Danio rerio: one gene and its partners. The protein of the gene in region 2 interacts with the protein of the main gene of each other region in a pairwise test. Links are inferred from orthologs where the notes say so. Each region holds a gene or a part of one and is shown on either strand. Other genes may lie near its edges.

What was found. The genes of interacting proteins can lie anywhere in the genome.
Region 1: the proteins of efhc1 (region 2) and eif4enif1 interact in binary tests that used the Homo sapiens proteins (3 or more experiments, as listed by UniProt). The two-hybrid records come from large-scale screens. The link is inferred for Danio rerio from reciprocal best matches to the Homo sapiens genes EFHC1 and EIF4ENIF1.
Region 3: the proteins of efhc1 (region 2) and tex11 interact in binary tests that used the Homo sapiens proteins (3 or more experiments, as listed by UniProt). The two-hybrid records come from large-scale screens. The link is inferred for Danio rerio from reciprocal best matches to the Homo sapiens genes EFHC1 and TEX11.
Region 4: the proteins of efhc1 (region 2) and kctd4 interact in binary tests that used the Homo sapiens proteins (3 or more experiments, as listed by UniProt). The two-hybrid records come from large-scale screens. The link is inferred for Danio rerio from reciprocal best matches to the Homo sapiens genes EFHC1 and KCTD4.

Annotation. Positions count from the first base shown.
Region 1 is NC_133181.1:43,476,544-43,483,353, reverse strand, and holds the start of eif4enif1 (eukaryotic translation initiation factor 4E transporter), read right to left. Parts: upstream 3,779-6,810; 5' UTR 3,488-3,778; intron 813-3,487; 5' UTR 757-812; coding exon 676-756; intron 1-675. Other genes in the region: protein SFI1 homolog, read left to right, coding at 5,038-5,183, 5,266-5,337, 5,960-6,070, 6,785-6,810. UniProt on the Homo sapiens protein: EIF4E-binding protein that regulates translation and stability of mRNAs in processing bodies (P-bodies). Plays a key role in P-bodies to coordinate the storage of translationally inactive mRNAs in the cytoplasm and prevent their degradation.
Region 2 is NC_133195.1:51,339,373-51,345,610, forward strand, and holds part of efhc1 (EF-hand domain-containing protein 1), read right to left. Parts: intron 5,587-6,238; coding exon 5,299-5,586; intron 4,821-5,298; coding exon 4,668-4,820; intron 2,991-4,667; coding exon 2,798-2,990; intron 2,281-2,797; coding exon 2,060-2,280; intron 1-2,059. UniProt on the Homo sapiens protein: Microtubule inner protein (MIP) part of the dynein-decorated doublet microtubules (DMTs) in cilia axoneme, which is required for motile cilia beating.
Region 3 is NC_133189.1:37,593,885-37,600,656, forward strand, and holds the start of tex11 (testis-expressed protein 11), read left to right. Parts: upstream 1-2,994; 5' UTR 2,995-3,117; coding exon 3,118-3,145; intron 3,146-3,316; exon of another isoform or gene 3,317-3,378; coding exon 3,379-3,494; exon of another isoform or gene 3,495-3,549; intron 3,550-3,683; coding exon 3,684-3,768; intron 3,769-6,010; coding exon 6,011-6,090; intron 6,091-6,263; coding exon 6,264-6,344; intron 6,345-6,772. UniProt on the Homo sapiens protein: Regulator of crossing-over during meiosis. Involved in initiation and/or maintenance of chromosome synapsis and formation of crossovers.
Region 4 is NC_133184.1:20,477,836-20,483,948, reverse strand, and holds kctd4 (BTB/POZ domain-containing protein KCTD4), read left to right. Parts: upstream 1-3,073; 5' UTR 3,074-3,209; coding exon 3,210-3,986; 3' UTR 3,987-4,635; downstream 4,636-6,113.

The DNA of each region.
Region 1 (6,810 bases), on a different chromosome or scaffold from region 2:
CGCCTCTCGGTCCCGCCCAGACTCGTCAGCGCTACCAAGCCGACCAATCACAGAGCTTATGCTACGCGTCGTTGCGACGTGTAGTTACATTTTTTGAGAGGTGCACGTCAGTGACGGCGATGGCCACGGCGAAGGGCTATGCGTCAGCGCCGTAGCATACGCCGGTGTTTGACGCAGAAGTATAAATCAGGCTTTATTGTGCTGGTTGCATTTGAATTGACAAGGATGTCTGAAGTAATGACAGTGTACTCTTGTAATAAATTTTTTTTTTTTAACCTTGTAACAGAGTCATAATGCCAATGAAACTGACAGTTTTGTAGGATGCATGTAGGGCTCAAAAAAATTAGGCTGGTTAATCTTGCTTTTGAAAACTTGTATTGTCAACAGCTAATACATAACGATTGCAGAAAAGCAAGTCACCACAGTGCATTTATCAGTATCACACCTTTTTCACTTGCATGTACAAGACATTAAAGAAAATAGGTTTCTAATTTGGTTTAATTGAAGCCAAATTCAAAGCCATGCATGATTACATCATCCTTAATTGCGTAGTAGATTTTAAACTGTAAAATGTTACGAAAGTTAATGCTGATCAAAGTAAGTTGAACTAGATCATCAAAACACGAGGGCAAATTTGCTCCTCATGTGATTGTTGCTTTAAAGGACTGTTCTCACCTTGGTATACCTATAGGCAGAGGTCATTACGGAGTCCTTAATTGGGTCCACCAAGTTTTCACCATTTTCGTCCTTCTCCATGACTGTGGTGGCTGGTCAAACTGAAGAGAAGCCCAAATACCAGACGCTCTAGGCACCTGTCAGATACTGTAGTGTTAGTTTAACTGCTGCATCAATGTACTGCAACATTATTTGGAAAGATCTTAAACAACTACAACATCTTTTAAAGGTATAATGGGTTATATGCACAGCTAGTGTTTTCCAGCCAATGATGTACTTCCGGTGAAAAATTTGTGACTATTTTCAATTTCATGAGGTTCTTTTTACAGCAGCGATGTTGTAATGCTTTAATCTATTTACCTGATTATATTTGAAATGCATCCATTTGGTTATAAAACCATAAAAAGAGAGGCTGACATAAATGTAAAGTCTATGTGCATATACCCCATTCACTCCAAAAAAACAATATACGGTTTATTTATTCATCCTTAGGCCATTCAATATGAAGGGGACTTTTTCACCAGTAGAACATTAAAATATATTTTTAGTATTTAGTGATATTTCTATTAGGGATGCTCCAATCAATTGGTTGGAGATCCGAATCGGCCGATAATTACAATTCAAGACTTGTTTTTTTTTTTCTTTGTAAAGTTGCTTCTGAACGCTGCATGTATGCAAAATCCTTAATTTATTATCTTAGGTAAGGAGTTATACTCATACTTGAAGGGTAATTGTGCTTATGCAATGGTTAAGTTATATAAAGCTTAAAGAATTTGTATTTGTAATCTATACAAGTTGATCATTATTCTGGTTCTGATATCATGTTTTTTTTTTTTTACCTCTCAAATTATCATAAGCTGCTAACATGCATTTTATTTATCACCAGGGACAACAGTTCCAGGTAGGCCTGTGCAATTAATCAAAATTGAATCGCAATTTGAAAAGTTACAATTAGCTAAATCGCAAGAGGCAGTGATAGGGAATATATGCATTCATTTAATTTCCCCCACCCAGAGAAAATGTGTGACTGCCATCTGTGTATGAAAGTCTTACTAGCCAATCGAGAGAGCATGCTTTCATTCTGCCCAATCAGAACCTTTCAATCCGTCTTATATCTGTCGTGTTAGTATGCTGAGTGTTCTGTATTTTTAGAATTATAAAATTTTATATTTTTTTAAACATTTGTTTAAGATACATTATTTCCCTAATCTGAGTTGAACTTGTTTACAAAAAGGTAAGGTAATTTTATTTGTGCTTACTGTTTGCTCTAGAGCAGAGTTGACCAAAGTTGGCCCCGCGGGCCAAAGTTGGCCCATTGTAACCTTTGATTTGGCCTATCATCCCATCTGAGAGGAGAGCAAGTATGTTGAAGAGGGTTGGTGTGAACGTCTTACGGTTTTAGAGAGCGTCATTTTTTATTTGATGTAACCTTTTTTTTGGTTTGTTATATTGCTGAGCAAAAAAAAAAGCAAACAGAAATGAAATGTTTCAATTAAATGCAAATTAATCAGAATGAAAAAAATAAATGTAAATACTGTCACTCAACGGATAAAGGACTATGTAGAAGACATAGGCAGGAAAATCTAGGCATAAACTAGTGTAAATTTGTTATACATTGTTTTGTTTTTACTGTAATAAATTTTTTTTTTTAAATGCTGTATTAGTTAATTGAAAGCAATGTTTTCTAGTCAGTTTTAAGCATTATTAAATGAAATAGAAAATTACCCGTGGTAAATAACCCTATGGGCAGCACAGTGGGTAGCACAATCGTCTACCCACACAGCAAGGTCACTGGTTTGAGCCCCGGCTGGGTCAGTTGGCATTTCTGTGTGGAGTTTGCATGTTCTCCCTGTGTTTGCATGGGTTTCATCTGGGTGCTCCGGTTTCCCCAACATGTCCAAAGACTTATGGTACAGGTGAATTGGGTAAACATACGCTGGATAAGTTGGCGGTTCATTACACTGTGGCGACTCCAAATTAATAAAGGGAATAAGTCAAAAAGAAAATTGATGAAATTACCCCACCTATATTTGCCTTCGACCCATTCGCCTCAATCAACTTTGATTTTTGGCCGTTCATAAGAATAATGTTTAGGCACCCCTACTCTAGAAAAAAATGAGTTTAATTACTGAATATTTAAAAACTAATTTGAATAAATGTTGGAGTAAGTTAATAACTATCGAGTTCTTTATCTAACACACTGCATTTTAGCAGTAAGGAGCTTTGATGCAGATTGAGCTTAAGCTTGACTACAAAATTAAAATCTCAAATTAAATCACAATATATCAAAACAATTGCAATTGGATATTTTCCTCAAAATCGCACAGCTCTAGATACAGGTACATTACAATTTAAAAAATAAAAAATAAAACTTACAATAAGAAAAAAACAGTTCAACAACAAATAAATCTCCTACATTTTAATGACATTAAAAGCAAATTAACATTTCTGACTGAACTATCCTCTTTATAACAACCAAGTTATCTAGATTAAAACCAGTGAGTAACTGAGCGTGATTATACAAACAAGCATCTTAGCAAGTATAAAAACTCCTCAGTCAGCGAAGACTTCAAATAAAATTGAACTTGAATCCATTAAGACGGATATAAGGTGTAGCGATTTAATATGATGTAAATGTCTGGCTCGTGTGTAATATGAGAAGCTGCTGTATTAGCAAATGACGAGGCAGACTGCAAACAAACTGCAAAAAGCCTAACCAGCCAGATGCTAAAGCACGAATCTAAACTTTCAATCTATGAATAACTAAAATATTCTAAAAAATAAGTGTTGGTCAGCACATTTATCAACTCACCTGATATTTGAAACGGTGTCACAGCACCTTCTCTGTCCCCGCCGGGTTACCTCAGTTAGCTAGCTTCTGGCTACCTGTCTTATACCAAACTACAAGAAATGCCGGAGTCAGTCCAGAATTCAGAAAGGACGCGGATGAAGTTTCCTGCATAAAAATAAAGTTTCTCTATCGACGGTGTTGAAGGGGGTTCAGATATCGCTTGTCACTCCAGGTGGAATCGTTAATTGACAGAGAGGAGCATCTCATTAGCAAACTGGCTACACTTATCAAGCCGACGCCGAGGATTTATTTAGGTTCTTACAGACGAACGACTATTTGTCCAGACTTTAATTGTACCTTTGGTTTATTTCTCCTTTGGGTTTTTTCGTGGGAGCGATAAACATGGAAAAACGCCGTGTTTGTTTGTTTATTTATAGGCTAGTGAGCCAGGTTAGCGGGCTAGGAAACTTATCCACACTCATAAATCTGAACAGCGCAGGTCTAAAGCGCGCTAGTAAATTAAAGCTCACGTATATTAGGAATAAATCGGGCGGAAATTTTGGTTCGACGACTTAATTAAAGCTTGTATTCCGGCTTCTACCATCAATGTACCTCGGGGTACTTTCTCAGAGCTCTCTCTTTCGTCTCTGTTCAGTCGCAGAGCGGCGAATTTCTTCAGATCTCTGACTGGTTCTGAGAAAGGCCCCAATCAAGGATTATATAGCTTCTAATCACGCCTTCTCTAAAGTTTTACGAAACTAGGTCTTATTTTTGATGAAGATTTCAAATGTTACAATACAGAATGTGAAATTATGAGGTTAGAAGTGTGTATTTTATACAACGCTGTTTACAAGAGGCGTTAAAGAATTTTGAACACGAATATGTTTCAGGCATTCAACGCGGCCACCCTTTATAAATTGTAGTCACGTGACAGGATCTAACACGCTCAGTTAAGTTTTTTTTATTCAGGTTGAGTTTGTTTTTGTTGGTTGGTTTACAGGATTTTGAGCAAAACTAAGAGCTTTTTATGAAGAGATTATATTTAGTTAAAAGCGTTTTATACATGTTCAAAGGCATGACGTTTTATACATGTTCAAAGGCATAAGTAAAATATCAATTGCTCTTTATAAAGTCTGCATCGATAATAGGAATAATAGTAATGCTATTAATATTAATAACACATTATTTTGAAATAAAATTATTACATTTTAAAAAGTAAAATTGTATTTTTACATCATACAACAGAATTTTTAAACATACGTTTAATAATTTAACCTACATTTTTAAACTGTTATTTTTAATGAGGCCTTTGAAAAAACTTTTATTTTGACATTGTTTACCGGAAGAATGTTCTTTTAACTCAGAAGAGCGGCAGTTATGTTTTGTTGTTGATACTAGTTGTCAGAATGATGACACCTATTTACCGAGCTACAACATGTCTTAGCCGTTAAGTGAAAACTTAAATGACTTTATCTTTACTTTAATTATAGTTCAGGTTACGTTACCTGCAGGAAGATTGCGCGGCGATGGACTAAAGGTTATGTGTCTAAAGTAACGTTACAGCGTTTAAAATGCAAACGACAAGACCACACGCTGGGAAACAGCTGTCGTGTGCTGTTGAAAAGAACCGGGCACGGAAGACAGTAACACGCAAAAACACTTACCGGGTCGGATATACTTGGAACCGAGGTGGTAGACTTAAAGAGCTGAGGATACGGTGGGAAATCACGAGTTTTATCTTTAATTTGCAAACTAAGATGTAATGTGACAAGAACTGACATTTGTTTTTATTGTTTTAGGCACCTTGCTCGAAAGTTCCTTTTCTTGTGGATTAGGAGGACATTTGGACGAAAAACAACATCACAAGCCAGGTCTGACGAGTTTAATTAATACTTTATAAGTACAAAAAGCACTACTGCAGTGGTAAAGTAACGTTACTAATGTGATTTATGAGTCTCTTTATTCATTTTATCACAGGCTGTCAGTGGAGTCTTAAAATGTCTTAAATTACAGAAACTAAATTTTAGGCCTAAAGTTTTAAATTCATTGAAATATTGTCTGACTGGTCAGGGTTATTTTAAATGGGTCTTAATTGTCCTTTGTTTATGCACAATGGACACAATAGATATAAATAAAACTTTTAACAAAACTCTATTTCTAGCTAATATTATGTTGCACATACATTTAGTTTAGCAAAGTTTTAATTTATGTTATGTTGAAAAAAATAAAGGTCTGCTTGTTTTGAGACAAGCAGACCTTTTAAAATGATAAGTAATCATTTTAAGTATTTTTTTATAATTAAAATATGTTGCTAAGAAATAACTAATTAGAATTAGTTTTTCTGATAGGACAAGTATTTTTTTATTGCTGGGCCATTATAAAACAGCCTTAGCATTTAGCCTTATATAAGTCTAAAGTTTCATTCTAGATGGTCCTAAATTTGACTTGGTTAAACCTGCAGAAACCCTGTATTAAATTTGTACTTTCTTTCAGATCTCATTATTGTAAGGTCATCCTGAAGAAGGTCTTCAGGTCTTGGAAAGATGAATGGTGGCATTCAAGAAAGGAATGGACTCTCAATATAAGGGCCGACTGCCATTATGCGTAAGTTGAGTTTGCTACTGCCACAAAGGTTGATGAGAAAATCAGTAATATTGTAAAATATTATTACAGTTTAAAATGTAGCTCAAACATATTATTGTTTTTATCCTGTTATGCCAAACCTGAAAATTTAGCAACCATTTCTTCAGTCTTTAGCATGACTTCAGAAGTCAGTCAATAAGCTGTTTCGGTGTTCAGAAACAGCTGCTTGATGTTTTGTGTAAACCATAAATAGACAAAGGATGATAACCATTTTCAAGGTATATTGTGGTTTAGAAAAGTCAAGGTTTCAAAACTACCAAATTGTTTTGTTATACCATTCCTACAGTGTTTGTAAGATTTTTTTTGTTTGTTTGTTTTTTTTGTACAACAGTTTCTTCAGCAGAAAAGATATCCAAAAAGGCTGTTTTAATATGTAAAGAAATCTGTGTGTTTGAAATGAATTAAGCCAGCAAAAGTCAACGATTTATTTATTAGTTGTTAAGTTATTAACCCTAACGTGTTTACTGCCCCAAAATATTATAAACGTTTCTCAAAATGAAATGTATTTTACGTCCAAAGTGGAAAAAAGTTTTTCCCCAAACATTTAAAAAGAATATATTTTAGAGCTGTAATCCAAATACAGAGAAATCATGAAATGATTATAGAAGGTTATCATACCGTCAGAATCCTATACCGGCCCATGCCTAACCATGATACATTTTCTGCTCATTGTAGGTATACAGTGTACAGCAAAACATTTC
Region 2 (6,238 bases):
AAAATAAATAACAAGTCTAGTATATCCAGATGCATCAGAATACTGTATCTACTAGCTAACAATATTTATATATTATACTATATACTATACTGCACCTGTCTCATCTGCATCTGAGCTAACTTACTTCAACTGTATCCATCACTGCTCTTATCAAATGCCTAATCTGCATCATTCTCATGGCCACTAAAACCCGTCTCATCCTCACTTTCATCTGCAGGAAGAGTCAGTTCTGTCCTTTACTTGTTTCACTTGCCATAGAACATAATACACTGTTCCCTGTGTTCATATCTATTCAAAAGCAGTATTGCCATTAAAACTAGATTTTGTGCATATTGCAAATGTCATTAACATACAACTAATCAACATTATATTACTAGCTTTCATGTTGTTATTGTTACTTAAACATTCACAGCTGACCTTGCTAGCTAGCTAACCAATTGCAATACTTCACATTCCACTACTGCACAGTGTTGCCATTTGGCAACATACACATTTGATCAATTTACAAAAATTAATTTGATTAAAAAACATTTGAGTTGTGAATATATCATCATAACTTACTGGAGGTGATGTCTCAGATTTTTTGTGGATCTGACATAATTTGATCCTTGGTTTTTATTGATGTTTTCAATTGCATTCAGCAACTGCTCACAATAAACACCAGACTGTCAGAAATCGCACCAAAGAAAAACACTGCATGTCATGTGACTTAATTATAGCACATCATTGGCTAAGCTAAGGTCTTCTCTTTCCAAAAAAAAAATAAAAAATCAATGTTGGTCTTAGAGAAACAGTGGCAGGGAAATTAACCTAAATATCATGTTGCCATATGGCAACACCATGCGTCAGAGGGTTAAATACAATTTAATTTATGTAATTAGGAATTAATGACTTTTTTAAGTAAGATACCCAACACTGAGAAAAAAAGTATGTTTACTTCATAGTCATAACCAGTTGTATTGTAAGAACATTTTAACATCGCATGCTGCACTCTATTGTGCAGAGATCTGTCATTAATATACAGTTGAAGTCAGAACTATTAGTGAAATTAGAATTATTATTAAAAATTAGATTTTTTTTATTTTTTCAAATATTTCCCAAATGATGTTTAACAGAGAAAGGAAATTTTCACAGTGTGTCTGATAATATTTTTTCTTCTGGAGAAAGTTTTATTTGTTTTATTTTGGCTAGAACAAAAGCAGTTTTTAATTTTTCAAAAGATATTTTAGGGACAAAATTATTAGCCTCTTTTAAGCTATATATTTTTCCAATAGTCTACAGAACAAACCATCGTTATACAATAACTTGCCTATTTACCCTAACCTGCCTAGTTAACCTAATTAACCTAGTTAAGCCTTTGAATGTGACTTCAAACTGTATAGAAGTGTCTTGAAAAACATGTAGTCAAATATTATTAACTGTCATCATGACAAAGATATAATAAATCAGTTATTAGAAATAAGTTTTTAAAACTATCATGCTTAAAAATGTGTTGAAATAATCTTCTTTCCATTAAACAGAAATTGGGGAAAAAGTTAAACAGGGGGACGAATTCAGGAGGGCTAATAATTCTGACTTCAACTGTATATATATATATATATATATATATATATATATATATATATATATATATATATATATATATATATATATATATGCCTTCTAAATTATTGAGAGAACCAATCAAATTCAAGTAAAGCGATGCTGCTCACACGGTACGATTTCAGCCACAAATTGTTCGTCTGAGAAAAAATTAGTAGAAAAAAAAGTGTATTTCTGGCAGATTCAGAAGAATTTAAGCTACAATTGTTTTGGATTATTTAAAGTCACACAGTGTGAGCCGGGCTTAAGTTTACACAGTACAAGGGAAGATTTAAAGGGACAGTTCACCTATTAAATGAATATCCTGTCATCGTTTACTAATCTTCCACTTGTTCCAAAATCTAAGTTGAACACAAAGGGAGGTAAATTATTAACACTGAGGTCAGTAAATTATGGGGTATTTTTCATTTTTGGGTGAACTGTTCCTTTAATTGAGAAGAGCTGTGACATATCTGACCCTCTTGATGTCCTGCTGTGTTCTGGTGTCCACAGTGAAGGGTTTGATGGGGATGTCGGGATGATGGTGTTGATAGTATTTGTGTGTGAAGTCATCACAGTCGTACAGCAGGAATCGTCTCCCCATCAGGTTAACCTCCTCGCCGACCCTGAAGTCTTGAGGACAGAAATACTCCTTCACGTCATGAGGAGAAACTTCCAGAACGCAGCTGGGGAACGGCTCTGAGTGCAGAAAGGCATACAGTTATATATAACGTTAATATATTGATGTGAACTAGACCAAAGTCTTCAAAGGTTTCAAAATGTATATTAATTAATAATATTGTAAAAACTGCTTATAAGACAAGGTAATTGCAACTTTTGCTTGACCTAGATTCCAACATATAAAGAAATTTCAAATAAAATATCTAATACAATTTTAGATATGTATTTTGTTTTCTTGCGTGTCATGACCATTAACCATCGTCTGGGATCGTGAATATTTAAAGCTTTTGTTAAATTTAGGTATTTAAAATCTGCAGTGTTACTTTGTGTTTTTTTTTCAGTGAAACAAAAATGTGAGTGCTGTTCTAAAAATGTAGAATAGTAAGTGGTTCATTCGGCTGTGGCAACCTCTGATATACACGTGACAAAGCTGAAGGAAAAGAAATAAATGAGTAATATCTTTTAAAAAACCTTCGAACTGCAGCAGGTGCGTTTAAGGTAATCCTGTGTGTGTGTGTGTGTGTGTTTGTCTCACCGCAGGTTGGTTTGATGTGTTTGGGGATCTTCTGTCGGCGGAGCAGCACTGGAAATGGGTCCCGGCCGCTGTTTGCCTCGTGATGTTCACAGATCTCCACGGAGTCGTCAACCAGATAATAATGTAGAGTTACAGGCCGTTTCTCCCCATAGAGAGAGTCTGAGTCGTCCCAGAGCGCAAAGAAGCGCAGCACCTGGAGAATACATGTAAGTGAGCACACACAGCAGTATGTACAGCTTATTGTTGAGCAGAACTACAGCAAACTGGCGAGTATTACATATTCATTCATTCATTCACTCACTCGCTCATTCATTCATTCATTTATTAATTCATTCATTCACTCACTTATTATTTCATTCATTTAATCACTCATTCATTCATTCTTTCACTCATTAATTAATTCATTCATTTACTCACTCATTTATTAATTAATTCATTCACTCATTATTTAATTCATTCATTCATTCATTCTTTTTCTTTCTTTCTTTCTTTCTTTCTTTCTTTCTTTCTTTCACTTGTTAGTTCATTCATTCATTCATTCATTCTTTCTTTCTTTCAATTGTTAGTTCATTCATTCTTTCTTTCTTTCTTTCTTTTACTTGTTAATTCATTCATTCATTCATTCATTCACTCACTGATTCATTCATTCATTCTTTCTTTCTTTCTTTCTTTCTTATCACTTGTTCATTAATTCATTTATTCATTCATTCACTCACTCACTCACTCATTCAGTCATTCATTCATTCACTCATTAATTAATTAATTCATTTACTCATTAATTAGTTTCATAATTCATTAATTCAATATTTAACTAATTATTTAATTGATTAATTAATTCATTTATTGTTCCTGACTAAACTATTTTTGTCCAATGTTTATAGTCATTGGCGACCCTTGCTAACTGGATAAATTAGTGTAGGCTTTTATATCAAATATATTATATTTATATCAATGTTTTGTTAAATGTTAATTATTTCATTATTTATAAAACTTTTTGTGTTGTTTTGAATATATTCTCTATTTTTAAGTTGAAGTTATTTTGTGTTTTTTATTCATTTATTTTCTTTTCGGCTTATTCCCTTTATTAATCTGGGGCTGCCGCAGAACCACCAATTTATTCAGCATATATTTACACAGCGGATGCCCTTTCAGCCGCAACACATCACTGGGAAACATCCACACACACTCATTCACACACACATACACTACCAACAACTTAAGTTACCCAATTCACCTATAACACGTTTTTGGACTTGTGGGGGAAACCGGAGCACCCAGAACAATCACCTCACAGCAAGAAGGTCACTGGTTCGAGCCCCGGCTGGGTCAGTTGGCGTCTCTGTGTGGAGTTTGCATGTTCTTCCTGTGGTCGCGTGGGTTTCCTCCGGGTGCTCCGGTTTCCCCCACAGTCCAAACACATGCGGTACAGGCTAATTGGGTAAGCTAAATTGAATGAGTGTGTGTGGATGTTTCACAAAGATAGGTTGTGGCTGGAAGGGCGTCCGCTGCGGAAAAACATGCTGAATAAGTTGGTGGTTCATTCCGCTGTGGCGACTCCAGATCAATAAAGGGACTAAGCCGAAAAGAAAATGAATGAACCACTGAATGACTATGAAATAAATAATATAATATAATTTAAAATAATATAATATCAAATAATATAATATAACACTTCTGAGCATTAAAAAAAGCTTTTGTTTTTATTTATTAGTAAATATTAAGTCTTGTCAATAAAATGTGTTGCAGTTAGTCTACTAACAGGAGGAAATTATAAAACATAAAATTGAGCTGAAAGCATGAGAAATAAACCAATAAAAACAACAGCAAATATACAAATATACTTTACAAACCAGTTTTTTTAAGCGTTTACCTGTCGATCCAGAGCAAGGAATCGCTCCAGCTGATGGTTGTGGTCATAGGGTGTGATGTGGGTTTGTTGGTTGTGAGCACGGCGGGCAGTGTACGGGTCACTGGGAATGGACTCAAATTCATTCAGTACAATTCCCTGACTCTCCATGAAGTCCTACACACACAAACATACATATTTGTTTTTGTGAATTGTGGAGATATTGTATTGGTTTCCATTGTATTTATACTGTACAAAATGTATACACACAATCTTGTACAGCTATCTTTATGGGGACTTCCCATAGACATAATGATGTTTATACTATAAAGACTGTACTGTATATTTGATTCCTTTACCCCAATCCTACCCCCAAACCCGACCATTACAGGAAACAATCTGCATTTTTACATTTTAAAAATACTTAATTCTGTCTAATTTATGAGCTTTTTTTGTCATGGGGACCAAACAAAATTGACTGGTATTTGCTCCCCACAACATGAGAAACACAAGGTAGACACACACACACACACACACACACACACACACACACACACACACACACACACACACACACACACACACACACACACACATATTTATTCAGACCAAACTCATCAGACATATCACACCAGCAGACTCGTTGTCTTTGTACCTGTGTGAAGGGGTCGCAGTGTGTGATCCTGTAAACCTCTCCAAACAAGTTGATGTCCATCCCCACGTTCAGGTCCTTCCAGTGGTACAGATCTCCACGTGGGTTTTTGCTCAGTCTCTGCCGCTTGATCAGTTTTCCCTGAGGGATTCCAGAGTTTTCCACCGGCGGCTCGGTCACACAGATGCTGTCATCCTCCAGGTGATAGTAAAACACCACTGGACGAATGCGGAAGTGCTCATCCCAAGAGTGAAGCACTTCCTGACGGAAATAACCATAGAAACGCAACACCTGCAGAGGTCAGAGGGGAAAGGTGAGATGGAGAGATGGACAGACGGACAGACAGAAGTATAGACAAGACTAGATAAAACAATAGATGGATGGATGGAGAAAACTACAGAAAGAACGATCGATAGATAGATAGATAGATAGATAGATAGATAGATAGATAGATAGATGGATGGATGGATGGATGGATGGATGGATGGATGGATGGATGGATGGATGGATGGATGGATGGATGGATGGATGGATGGATGGATGGATGGATGGATGGATGGATGGATGGATGGATGGATGGATAGAGAAAACTGCAGAAAGAACGATAGATCGATAGATAGATAGATAGATAGATAGATAGATAGATAGATAGATAGATAGATAGATAGATAGATAGATGGATGGATGGATGGATGGATGGATGGATGGATGGATGGATGGATGGATGGATGGATGGATGGATGGATGGATGGATGGATGGATGGATGGAGAAAACTACAGAAAGAACGATAGATAGAACGATAGATAGAACGATAGATAGAACAATAGATAGATAGATAGATAGATAGATAGATAGATAGATAGATAGATAGATAGATAGATAGATAGATAGATAGATAGATAGATAGATAGATAGATAGATAGATAGATAGATAGATGGATG
Region 3 (6,772 bases), on a different chromosome or scaffold from region 2:
AAATATTTCTTAGTAAATTTTTGCATCACAATTTTTTTAAATCAAGGTGCAACGTTGCATTGTCTGATTACATAGCATTCAAAATACACTGGAAAAATATTTACAGTTTTTTTTTTACTTCAGAAACAGGATGTGCAGCTAATTTTATATCAGAGTAAATAATCATGGGGCTTCTTTCACCTTCCAGCACCCCATGGTGTGTGGATGCACCACAGACTGTTTGTCTTTTTGATGCTACAAACGTGGATATGCTCCCCGCAACGTACAGCAATGCATTGTCCATTCATATCCTTTTATCTACACAGTGCTCAGCATATATGAGTGCACCCCTCACAAATCAATCTTTTGAATTAATATTTTTTAAGTGAAGCTATACAATATTATATTTGTGCATACACATTAGATTAGTAAGTAGTGAAGCCAAATCTGGAGTTTATCTAACAAAGTAACCGACAATAACGGCCCAAAAACTAGTACACCACAATTTATATGTTATAGAAAAATATTAAATACATATTTAAAAGAGGAAAAATCAAAAGAAGCATTTTTTTTTCAATTTTAGTTGAAATTGTTTTGAATTTAATTGCATTACCTTTCAATGTCTAAATATGTTTGGTGACTAAAATATTTTTATTGTAAAATAATTTATTGTCCTCTCCTAACATTCCTTCCATCAATATGTGGATAAATCAGATTGCCATTTTCTTACCCTTAGAAAAACTGACTTAGGACTTAAGTCTTATGATTAGATATGATTTCTGGTATATCTGAAACCCTCTATGAGAAGTTTGGAGAATGTATCTTGAAAGACTATTTTTATTATTATTTTGTTCATTTTACCCTTCACAAAAGACTTGAATTACTACCCGATGGACGAAAGTATAATAAATAGTTATATTATTGTATATGATGAAATGAGACACTTATACCACTGTTCTGTCATTGCAAATCTTTAAATAAATGTTTAAAATAAATAAATAACTAATTTAAATGTGGGCGAAGCAGTGGTGCAGTAGATAGTGCTGTTGCCTCACAACAAGAAGGTTGCTGGGTCGCTGGTTCGATTCTCGGCTCAGTTGGCGTTTTTGTGTGGAGTTTGCATGTTCTCCCTGCATTCGCGTGGGTTTACTCCGGGTGCTACGGTTTCCCCCACAATCCAAAGACATGCGGTACAGGTGAATTGGGTTGGCTAAATTGTCCATAGTGTCTGAGTGTGTGTGAATGAGTGTTTGTGGATGTTTCCCAGAGATGGGTTGCATCTGGAAGGGCATCCGCTGCGTAAAAATGTGCTGGATAAGTTGGCGGTTCATTCCGCTGTGGCGAACCTAGATTAATAAAGGGACTAAGCCAACAAGAAAATGAATGAATTAATAATTTAAAGGATTTATTTTTATTAGGTTTTTAAATAAATAGGTCTTACACTTTATATTTTCTGATTTTTCATAGTATATGTATTAATTCTGTTACTTTTACCATATCAACCATTTGGTAGTGGCTGATATTTTAGAAATAATGGGATGTGTTGAAAAAAATGCATTGAATTTGTTAACTAGGAATGCAATCCAAAGTAATTGATCCCTGATTTTTTTTCATTGAAGTATATAATTTTAGATTACAGATGTTCATTGGTATTTAATGTTAACAGATTTAAATGCAGATTTAAATGCTGATAAAAGCCACCATGTAAAGTGTATTATGCAGTAAATTGCAACATTTAGTTTTTGAATTAGAAAGATTAAGAGATAAATTCTTGTAAAATAAAAGCTAGTCATTTTTTACCTTTTTCTTTTTTTCCCAAAGCATTTATAGACAATACATTTCAGGTTATGTCTTCAGGTTTGGCAGCAGATGTTTTACAGAGATATTTCTCGAATACACAATATTCGGCCTAGCATTGACCTTTCATACCCAAGTCTAACTGTGAGATGAAATATTTTTAAACCTGGCACAGATGTATAAATACGCCTGTTTATTATTATTTTAATATTATTTATGTTGCAGACTTTAGGAAATCTTGTGTCCATCTCTCTGACCGCATGTCACAAGGATCATGTTTGTTTTTTTCGTTCTCCTGTGCAATCAAGCCCTCTGAACTGATCACATTTCCCTCAGACCAGTACGGTGGCTAGATAAGACTCAGGCAGAAACAATTGCTGGAAGCCGAGCATGCAGAGGAGTGGGCTTTTAAGACATCTTATTTTTGAATCTAGTGCCGTGAACACAATAAGAGACTTCACAAACCATTCTGTGTACGCAGCTTGAGCTCTTTCCTTCAGCTCAACAATGACCTCCCCTGTTAAAACAAAAAGCTCAGCGTTATCAGCACATACTTTCTTTGGGGTGAATGAGGTTTTAACTAGCAGAAGGTGATGAATATTATGTTTAAACAATGCTATTATACTATGTAATGGGCCAGACCTTTCAACACGGAAATTCTGAATATCAAAAGAGCAGGCCTAGTTCTCCATTTATCTTAAAATATTATTTAGAGCGCTTGTTTCTGAGGCTTTTATATTTCATTTTTATATTCTATTACTATTTATAATAAAAGTGCATTTAATATAGTGGAAATTGTGCGCTATAATGTAACTAAATATTAAATTTAAGTTTATTTGTACAGAGCTTTTTACAGTAATTATTGTTTCAATGCAGCTTTACAAAAGATGCACATTTTTGCATTACAATCACATAATTGCATTACTTTAATTAAGTAAACCTCAGTTACTTAAGTTACAATCAAATAGCAGTTATTATATACAGACACATGCAATTTTATAGCATATGAGTGATGTCCAAATAGCAAAATGATTGTAGTTGTTAATATTAATGAGGCTGGATTATTAATCTTGGCTTCACCACGCCAAATAAATTGTGTGAACCTGAATGAAATATTTTAGGGAGACATGATGAGTAACAGCAAGTTAAAAACCGTGTGTGAGACACCACCTTGCGGTCACTCAGCGGTATTACACTCCGGCTGAAGCGCGTCCTCGTGCGTGTTTTGGCGGGGAGCGGTCGCGAGGGGCAGCGTTGGTTTTTTTCCAGTCACACAGAAACTTCATACAAAATACAACCTTTTAAAATTACTTCAGATTTTTTAGATACACAAAATATAATATGGAGCAGTTTGCTGTCGAAGTAAAAGGTACGTTTGCGGTAAAAGAAAGATATGTGGTACCAGTCAATTCAATGTATAAAAGATACGCTATTGTGTATTTACTATGAGATGAGCTATTGTGTTTTTTTACAAAACAATTATTTATCTTACATATTTTAAGTGATATTAATATAATGACAAATAACAGTTTCAACTTACCTTTTGTAAGTAATTTAACAGGTTATGTGAAGATATTTCGTGGTTTGACGTTCCTTTCACAGACCTGTCAGAGAAACTCCTCCACAGACAGAGCCATTCAGACTTGGATGAAGTGATTGATTCCCTCTTCAAGGAGATTTTAACTCTAGATGAAGCTGCAAAACTACAGGATTCACAGGTGTGGAAAATACACTTCTTTTGAAATCTACGGAAGCCCCCAGGGATCTTGTAGCGTTGTGTTTTGAAGACATGACGTCTTTATTTTGTTCTCGACATAAATATATATTATTTCGTATTTTAAGTTAACATCTTACACAGAAATCAGGTAATTGTGGTTCAATATTTAATAATTTAGTTGTTTTTGTAGCTGGAGGAAATCGCCATCCAGTTGTGGAACTGGGCTGTCACCAAACGTGTTGGCACCTCAATTACAGAAGAGCAGAAGGCCAAAGGTCTGTCCTTGTATTAGTCTTTTGTTTTATTAACTTTAATATAAATTAGATTTTTTTTTAAATAATAATACATGTATTAATTAGGCCTAATAATTATAATTAATAATGATTTTACTTGCCTGTATTAAGTATCTATTTAATACTGTTGGGGGTTTCAATCTGTAGTCTGGGAAATGTAGAAATGTTTAATAAATTAAAATAATTGGTCAATGTAGTTAATACAATTTTAAACATGTTTAAATTAGCCTTTTATGGACGCACAAATGAACATACTAGCAGGAGCGGACTTAATCAATAATCAAAGTTAGCAGCCGCCTAGGGCCCCAGGGAATTATGGGTCCCTGACCAATGCCAAGAAGCCTATATTAATCATATATCTCGTTTATACATTTTTTAAATCATATGTTGTAAAATCTGTGTATAGAGTCTGTTCAAATAAAATAACATTGCTCAGTGAAAATGAACGGCTGCCGATTCACAAACAGCAATTATTCAGTTAACTTAAATGATCGTGAATTAAATTTGTTAAAACTTTTTTATTTACTTATATCAAAATCTTTTCACCAAAATGGCTCATTTAGTTTAAATAGTTGCAAATTACTTGTTTTTTTTTTTTATTTGTGAATGTATTACATTTAATTTTAAATAAAAAAGAAAAAGCTTCCAGTAAATATAAAAATATAGAAAATATACTTTTTTATATACTTTTTATATATATTTATTTATTTAAATACTTTAACATGCTGTTTATTTACAATAATAATAATCTACAGAGAAAAAAAATGTATAAGAGAATGTTTTGAGTTTCAGTGCTAGGGCCCCATACCCAGAATTGCTTAGGGCCCCTGAATCACTAAATCCAGTATATATTTTAATTTAATGCCATGTCACCAATTAAAGCTATTGTCATGGCAAGAACATTTCAGTTACAAGTATCCAATCAAATATGAACAAAAATTTGTACATAAATTAAATAAGATGTTTAGTGTTTAACCAAGTCTAGTTTTAAAATGTCTTAAAACTTTGCGTGAGATTTTAGGTTGTATTTCATACAATTTGTTATTTTCCAATGCATCCCACTCCTCTTGCCACTTATTTAAAATGTAAACATTGATAAAATGTCTCATCTCTGGCATTTGTTCACCACTTGTTTCAAAGCATCCTTAGCAGCCACATCAGCTCACTCATTTCCTGAAAGTACAAGATGTCCTGGAACCCAATAAAAAATGGTATGACAAAACTGGTTTTGTAGATGGTGAACTTTAGTTAAACATTATCAATGAAAGGATGATCATTTTTTGAAGATTCCGTCACTTGGAGGCATGATTTGGAGTCTGAAAAATTATTCTTTTGTTGGACATTTTCTATATATTCCAAGTAAAAGTAAAGCACAGGCTTCAGCTATGAATATTGAGCATTCTTTTGGCAGACTAATTTCATAACGATGTTCAGCCACCATTACTGCAGCTACGCTCCTTTCCACTTTTGAACAGTCTGTAAAAATTGGTAAGTGTAGAGCAGGTGTGACCAACCCTGTTCCTGAAGTTCGACCTCCCTGCAGATTTCAGTTGCAACCCATATGAAATACACCTGCCTGTAATTATCAAGTGCTGTTCAGGTCCTAATTAATTGGTTCAAGTGTGTTTGATCAGGGTTGGAGCTGAACTTTGCAGGAAGGTCGATATCCAGGAACAGGGTTGAGCACCACTGGTGTCGAGAATATTGGCTTCTACTAGTATAAAGAAGACAAACAATTGTAAAAAAAAAAAAAAAACATAATTTAACGATAGTACAATAATTTTAGTATAAACATTATTAAATTTAATCAATTAATTATGCAAAATGTCAATTAATAGATGCAGATTTTGTTAATATGTTGTTAAAAATAAATAATTATATAAATGTGTATATAGTTAATATATTATAAAATGTGCTAATGCAATAGAGCTATATAATTAATAATATTTTGGACATTTATAGCAACATTTTACAGTACAATTTGTGACTTTTACACAAGAAACCTTAGATGCATTTAGCATTTTAGGATAGGTTCATGGCATCTAAACAGTTGTAAACCCCTGTATTACAGTTTTTGGGTGCCAATCAATCTTTGTTTTCTATCACTGACAGAGATATAGTTAATATCCTTGAATACAAACAAATAAAAATGTTAAAGTGTATCCCAGATGTTTACATAGATGTCAATTATTTAATTATTTAATACTCTACAAATTTGTTTTAGTGCGTCATGTGGCATGCAGACTTCTGTATTCATGCGGGCCTGAGAACCCATCAGAGAGTATCGTGCGCAAGCAAATACTGGTTAGTGAAAAATTATTTCCAGCAGTCTTGTTTATTAGCTTGTACTAATTTGACATTCACACAGAAGTCAGTAATAAAGTGGTTCATGCATATGCACAGTACATTTGTTTATTTCCATCCCTTGTGCATGCTCCTTGCATATTTGACTGAAATCTTACTTGTTTGTTTCTCAGATGGCCAGTAAAACTGGGAGAACATGGCTCGATTGTAAAAACTCCAAGTCTGCGGATGCTTTTTTGAGCATGGCTGTCAATGTATGTATGAATTCATTGAAAAAAACAGACAATATTGGCGGAACAAGAAAAAATTGCATATAATAAATAAATATATAATGCTATTGTGTGGTGGAATATTGATAAGTACCCATAATTATTTTTCACATTTTGGTAGTGTACTTACTGTAGGGTGTTTTGGGTTGACTTTTCCAATACTATTTAAAACTTGGTTACTCTCTGAACCCAGCCCGTCTCGTTGTAAATTTATTATTTATTTAATGCTTTTTCTGGATAAATTTTACATCCATAAATGAAAAAAAATAAATTCTAAGTAACTCCTTTTTTATTTTCAGAAACGATTTTGATAATATGTGAACTAGGGCTGCAGGATGCTATTAAAATTTTCTACAGTTCTGCAGTCTTTGTAAATATTTTTTTCTTGCATCGAAATAAATAAGACACAATAA
Region 4 (6,113 bases), on a different chromosome or scaffold from region 2:
TGATAGTTTCTTGAACCTGTTTCTGGTACCAGTAGTTCAGTAATTTAACCAAAAATTGTCTTTATTTTATTGCTCCATGTACTAACTGCTATTTTCTGACAGATTAATTTGTATTTTCTTTGCCTCATTAAAAAATAATTCACAGAATTTCTAAATACTTTTATTCAAAATGATATATGCAATGTTGCCGCTGTATTTGAATTATGGAAATAAAAGCTATTTAAAAATAGTTGCACTTTATTCACATCATTAAGTTGTGCTATTGATTTAAACACAAATGTGTCATGTTTTTTGGGGCATTTAGTAAATGAACATACAGTATTGTAAATATTTGTAAAGCACACAAATTACTATATTTATCTAAAATATTAATAATAAGATATACCAAACTTTGCTGAAGTGATTAAATATTGGTCATACTAACAATCATGATTTAACTAAAAAAAGAAAAAAAGAGTTTGTACCACGTTGTCATGATTTTAACAAACTGTCAAATCAAAGCCATCAATGAATAAATTGTGGGAACAAATGTTCAATTTACAATCATATACCCCTTTTATTTTACTTTAGTTTTAACTATCCTTCAAAATACCACTCTTTTTTCCTATTTTGTACTGTAATGATGATTTCAGTATCCAAACATCCTTTTGCCCAGTGTGGTTTGATAAATATGCATATTTGATTATTAATCTAGCCACCAAAAACAACATATGCTACACTTTGTTCATGTGCTTCTCAAGACGTCATGTTCTTCTGCACAAATTAACTAGAATATCTCTTATCCAAGTGCTCTTGCTTGTACCAATCAGCCACCAATGAATTGAAATCAATTTGGTCCTCTTCAAATTGAAACAAACAAGTGCACTAATTAAAACAAAAAGATAGATGAGAAAAAGCAGGTCAGCCACCCACTATTTCTCTGGCATAGTTAAACCCGGTTTGCAATTCAAATGCAGATGAATAAACCCAGTAATCACATGATGATTAAACCATGACCAAGCCATCGTCTATAACAACTATAATCAGTCATATATGACCATAATGAACTGTCACTGCATCTGTAATCAGATGGCTATGTGCATGGGTGGCATAGTTTAAAAAAGCGAAGCAAAATGTGTGCCAGTGATGCCAGGGCTTACATGGATGTGCTATTTGTGACATCATAACATGGCTAAAACTAAATATGAATGATGCTCCATTTTTTAAGGTGAGACATTAGAGAAAGACATTGTTGTTTTATGGCTTCTTTCAGAATTGTTGGTAAAAGCATCCAAAATATAGTTATAAATGTACATTTTATCACATTATGTTTGATCCTAAAAGTGTTAATGGCAATGCATATCTATTTTTGAAGATTTTTATAAAGATATCTTGTAAAAACATGGTGCTTTTTGGCAGTAGTTTGGCTGTTGACAGTATTTTCTGATTTATGGAGCTAACAAAAGTAAAACCTTTCAATGTCAACAACATTTAAACATGTCAAAAGCATTCAACAATATTTAAACTTGACTTCATCAAATATTCATGTTTCTGTTCTGGAACTATATGTAAATTAGTGCATATTTAATCAGACAACACTTTATGTATACATATTCAAACACCTTTTGCAAAAACTATGTTTAAAACTCTTAATACAGTAAATGCAATTAATGTGGTAAGTATGGTGATATTTGTTCAACTTAAAATAATCAATATACCTGGATTAAAGGTTGTGAGAGCTTAAATAAACAACATATCTTTTTTACACTTTAGACTCCATTGTGGACCTTGATCTCTGCTCTAACGACTTTTAGTGTTGCAATATATTGTAAAAAACAAGGTAATGAAGTAATTTGCTTCGGTAATTTAACAGTTTTCTTTCTTAAAACATTGTTAGCTGTAACAATTTGACCAAAACAATTGGCATAGCAGGTAAAAGTGATTTAATAAACCAAAATGCCAGCTTTTCAATGGAGGTTCATCAAAAAAAAGGTGGCGAATTTTGTGTAAAATGTAAATGATGTTACATTTTGAAATACATGACAAGCCTTTGTTAAAATCCAATTTAAGATATCTAATAAATATGTAAAGCTCAAACTGACACCAGCACTCGGATAATGATTTAGCCTCCACCCTGTCTCAGATGCTAATGACGTACATGGCACAAATTTCGTCTCAGAAAAGTCCATCTTCCTATCCTTGGGCTACAATAGCGGTGTCGTCATTCTGTAATGATTGACAGGCTGTCATTAGTCGGGGACATCAAAAAAAAAAAAAAAGTCACACTGATGCTGCTGCAGTTTAAGGGCATGTCTTCTCTCAGACAGACGAGAGCTTGGGATCTTTGCTACTGAAAACTCATGTTAAGACGGGATTATATATAAGGATATTGATTTTGGGTTCTCATCCCTGGGTGGTTTATACATTGACACAGCCCTGCACTCCTTTGTTAGATGTACAACACCCTTAAAGACAGCTTGGGGCCAATTACGGGTTCAGCCCCCATGGCTTCCAGTCAAGACACAGGCTTTCTTATCAAAGGCTCCACCGATAACTGGGTCATGGCGATTACCTTAAAGCAAAAACCCAGCCTCTGAAAGAAAGAGAGAAACCTTCAATGCATTCATCTCTTTTGATATGAAGACAAACAAATCATTTACATAACTACACCTACACTGTACTGGATACGTCTCTCGTTTGACGATAAAGCTGCCAGTTGTCGGCACATCACACAGCAACGACTTAACACGATAGACGTGAAAGCATTAACATCTCGCTCCTCTCGCACTTTCATTGGAGGCAGTTCATTATGTGGGATCCCTGTGATTTGGCCCTCTCGGTGAGTTCACGTGCCGCCACCCAACCGAGGACTCCTTTCATCACAGGGCAGCGACGCTAATTGCCGAGCCAGAGCCAGAGAGGAGCTGAAGTGGAAAGGTGATTAAATTCAGCCTTTAGTGCGGAGGGCAGTGAGCAAAGCTCTCGCTCTTTCCGAGCCCACAGCACTGACGCAGTAGAGCCCACCCTTAACACCCCTCCTCCCACCGCGCGAGTGTATGCGCACACACATATATGTGTTTGCGTGGCTGTGAAAGGCTCAGACAGCGTTGGCAGCGCACACTGCTCCTGCGCTCCATGCCAGCGCCGCTCAGCTGCGCTCCTATTTGTCCAGGCGTCCGCTCACGCGCACGCTCCCCACACACTCCACCAGGCTGGGTGTGAGGAACGGAATGGAATGGAACCTCAGAAGGATGGAGAGCGAACTGAGACAGATCAATCCGGACCTGCTGCAGCCCAGCAAGAGCTTTAAGAAACCCTCCTCTGGCACCATCACCATCAACGTGGGGGGGTACCTGTACGCAGCCCAGAGGCACACCCTTGCCAAACACCCCGGCTCCCTGCTGGAAGAAATGGTGACTGGGAAAAAGCCAGTGCTGCACGTGGACTCCATGGGCAACACTTTCATTGACCGGGACGGCCCTATCTTCCGTCACATATTAAACTTCTTGCGCTTGGGCGAGTTAGTGCTGCCCGAAGACTTCAAGGAAACCGAACTTCTCCGCAGAGAAGCCAACTTCTACCGCTTGAGCGAACTAGCCCAAGCCCTGCAGGACTGGGAGCAGCAGCAGGCCACACAGCGCGAACCTGCCTTCCTGGAGGTGACGGACAGCCACGAGCGCTCACAGGGTCTGAGAGTCTACTGCAGCGACAACACCTTCATCGAGAAGGTCAAGAACCGGCTGGTACAGATCTCGAAGAGTCGCCTGGACGGCTTTCCAGAGGAGTTCGAAGTGTCATCCAACATCATCCAGTTTCGACATTTCATCAAGTCGGAGCAGGGCTCTCGGCTTGTGCTGAAGCAGGACAGCACGTTTTTGTGTACACTAGAGTGTCTGAAGCTGGAGACGGTGATGCTGGCTCTCAAGGGAGGCTTTCGTCTGATCACCAGCCTGGACAGCAGTCGAGGATCAGTGGTCCAGTGCGAGGCTCTGCATTTTGTCAAGTGACCCCACTAGAGGAACTGTCACCACTAAACACATGACCCGCTGAAAACCATCTCGCGTCAACCAACACCAGCGTCCTCTACCGAAAACCTGTTCTGGATTACTCTGCTAACCTGCTTCTACGTGACACACTCCAACGGACCAAGAGAGAAAGGAGAGAGACTGTACTGTACTGTGGGGCTTTGTTTGGTTTGTGTATGTAGTCGTCATCTGTTTACAATTGTCTTTACAGGAAGATCCACGGTTTGTACTTGATATGATTGCAGAGAACTGTGAAATCTAAAGGCTGAGTGTGATGGTCTTTACATTTGTGAGCAAGTTTTGTGATTTCTGGTAATGTGAACACATGTAGTGATCAACAGGTTGTAATCTTTTGAGTCTGTGAATGTTCTCGCACAATAAAGCTGCATTGTAAGTTATTCGAAACACTGTTGACGATCTACACTGTCTGTGAACTGTGGAGTGTATGCTGAGAAATGACAGTGGGCTGTATAAATAGAGCTACATTTATTTATTTATTAAATTTTTTTATTATGTGCAGTGAGGTCTGCTTGTAAGAGCGATACTGTGTCCTAAATTGAATGTTTGCAATATTATGCAGCAAAATGTGACCTAAAAATTAAATTTCCTCCAGCATTGATCCAAATTTAAATGGGTTTGATCGTGTTTTTTTTTAGAGCACATGGCATACATACATCCAACGCAGATATTTTAGCATGCATGTGCGTGCTGATTCATAAACAATCTGATTCACTTCAGAAGAAGACAAGCTCCAAAACCTGTCAATCAAAGAAAATTGATGAAAAGTCCTACAAGTTGCTGTTAGTCAGAGCCAAGAACTCCGTGGGAAAAAATATCAGTTCAAAATAGATCCATCACCCTGTGAATTCTGCAAGCAAACAAAACATTCAGTGCGCTGACTAATTCTGAAAAACAGCTCTTCTTGACAAGCAGCTAAATTCAGTTACAGTCTAAATCGGCTGTTTCATAGAAAGGCAAAGGCAGACATATGGTTAGACTCACTTTGGATTAGCCGACATCTCCACACACTAGTATCCATCTGTTTCCATCAAATCTGTCATGCAATCTCCCACTAAAATGATTCATTTCTGACATGGGGAGGAATAAAGAAGCACCTTCAATCTCTTGTCGTGTGGACATCAAAACAGAGTCCTTTTTAATTGCAGATATCAGTCATTCATATTTGATGAGACACGGCAGGGCTTATTAGCCGCCGTCACTGGCTGATACGTTTCTAAACCGCTGCCAGCAGGAGACTGGAAACCTGCGGGGGGGTGCTGGTAAGCAGAAGCATTTATTTCAAATGGTAGAAAGCCATTAACAGCTAAAATATTCATGGATAAGTCTCACGTCCAATTGTTGCCAGGCAAACGAGACTCCTACATAACAAAAAAGAAGCCAAAGATTCTCTCATCATGTGCTCCCAAGGAGGCATGACTAATGGCTGCCTCTCAATTTGATCGAAATTAATGGTCAGGCGAACATGTGACTTCGAGGACTCATATGCCCTTAAGAGACCAATTTCTCTGAGAATGTAGCGAGAGTGAAGAATCCGGTCTCTGCTAATGTACTTTTCAGAGTGCGAACTTGAATAGAGGCAAACCGCCTTGCTAGAACAACGTGAAATGGGCAATAGTCAAGGCCATCTGTAAGAGAAAAGCACGAATGGAACAAATCAAAGCAAGTTTTTTGAAAATTAAAAGACCACTTTGCTAAATATTACAATGGTTCCATACAAAATATCCCACGTTTTCAGACCTTCAATAATGGGGGGCAAGGGAGATAAAAAAAATAAATAACAGGAACACTTAAACAATGCAATCCAACTCCAAGTGTTCCCTTTATTTTTTTGGCAGTATATTAAGAGACCATATAATTCAAAATTCTTTGAATTTACTTGATCATTAGATCTATATTATGCAGTTCAGTAAATCATTTTATGGTTAAATTATTTTATAACTATAATTTTTTAAGTAATTTGCAGATAACATTTAATAGTAATTATTAAAATAACATTTCCTTAAAATTTAAATTAAAAAATATTGTCTTTTGGAGCATTTTGCCCAGAAGAAGTTACAAATGTTTTCAATTGTTGTAAATGAAAATCAG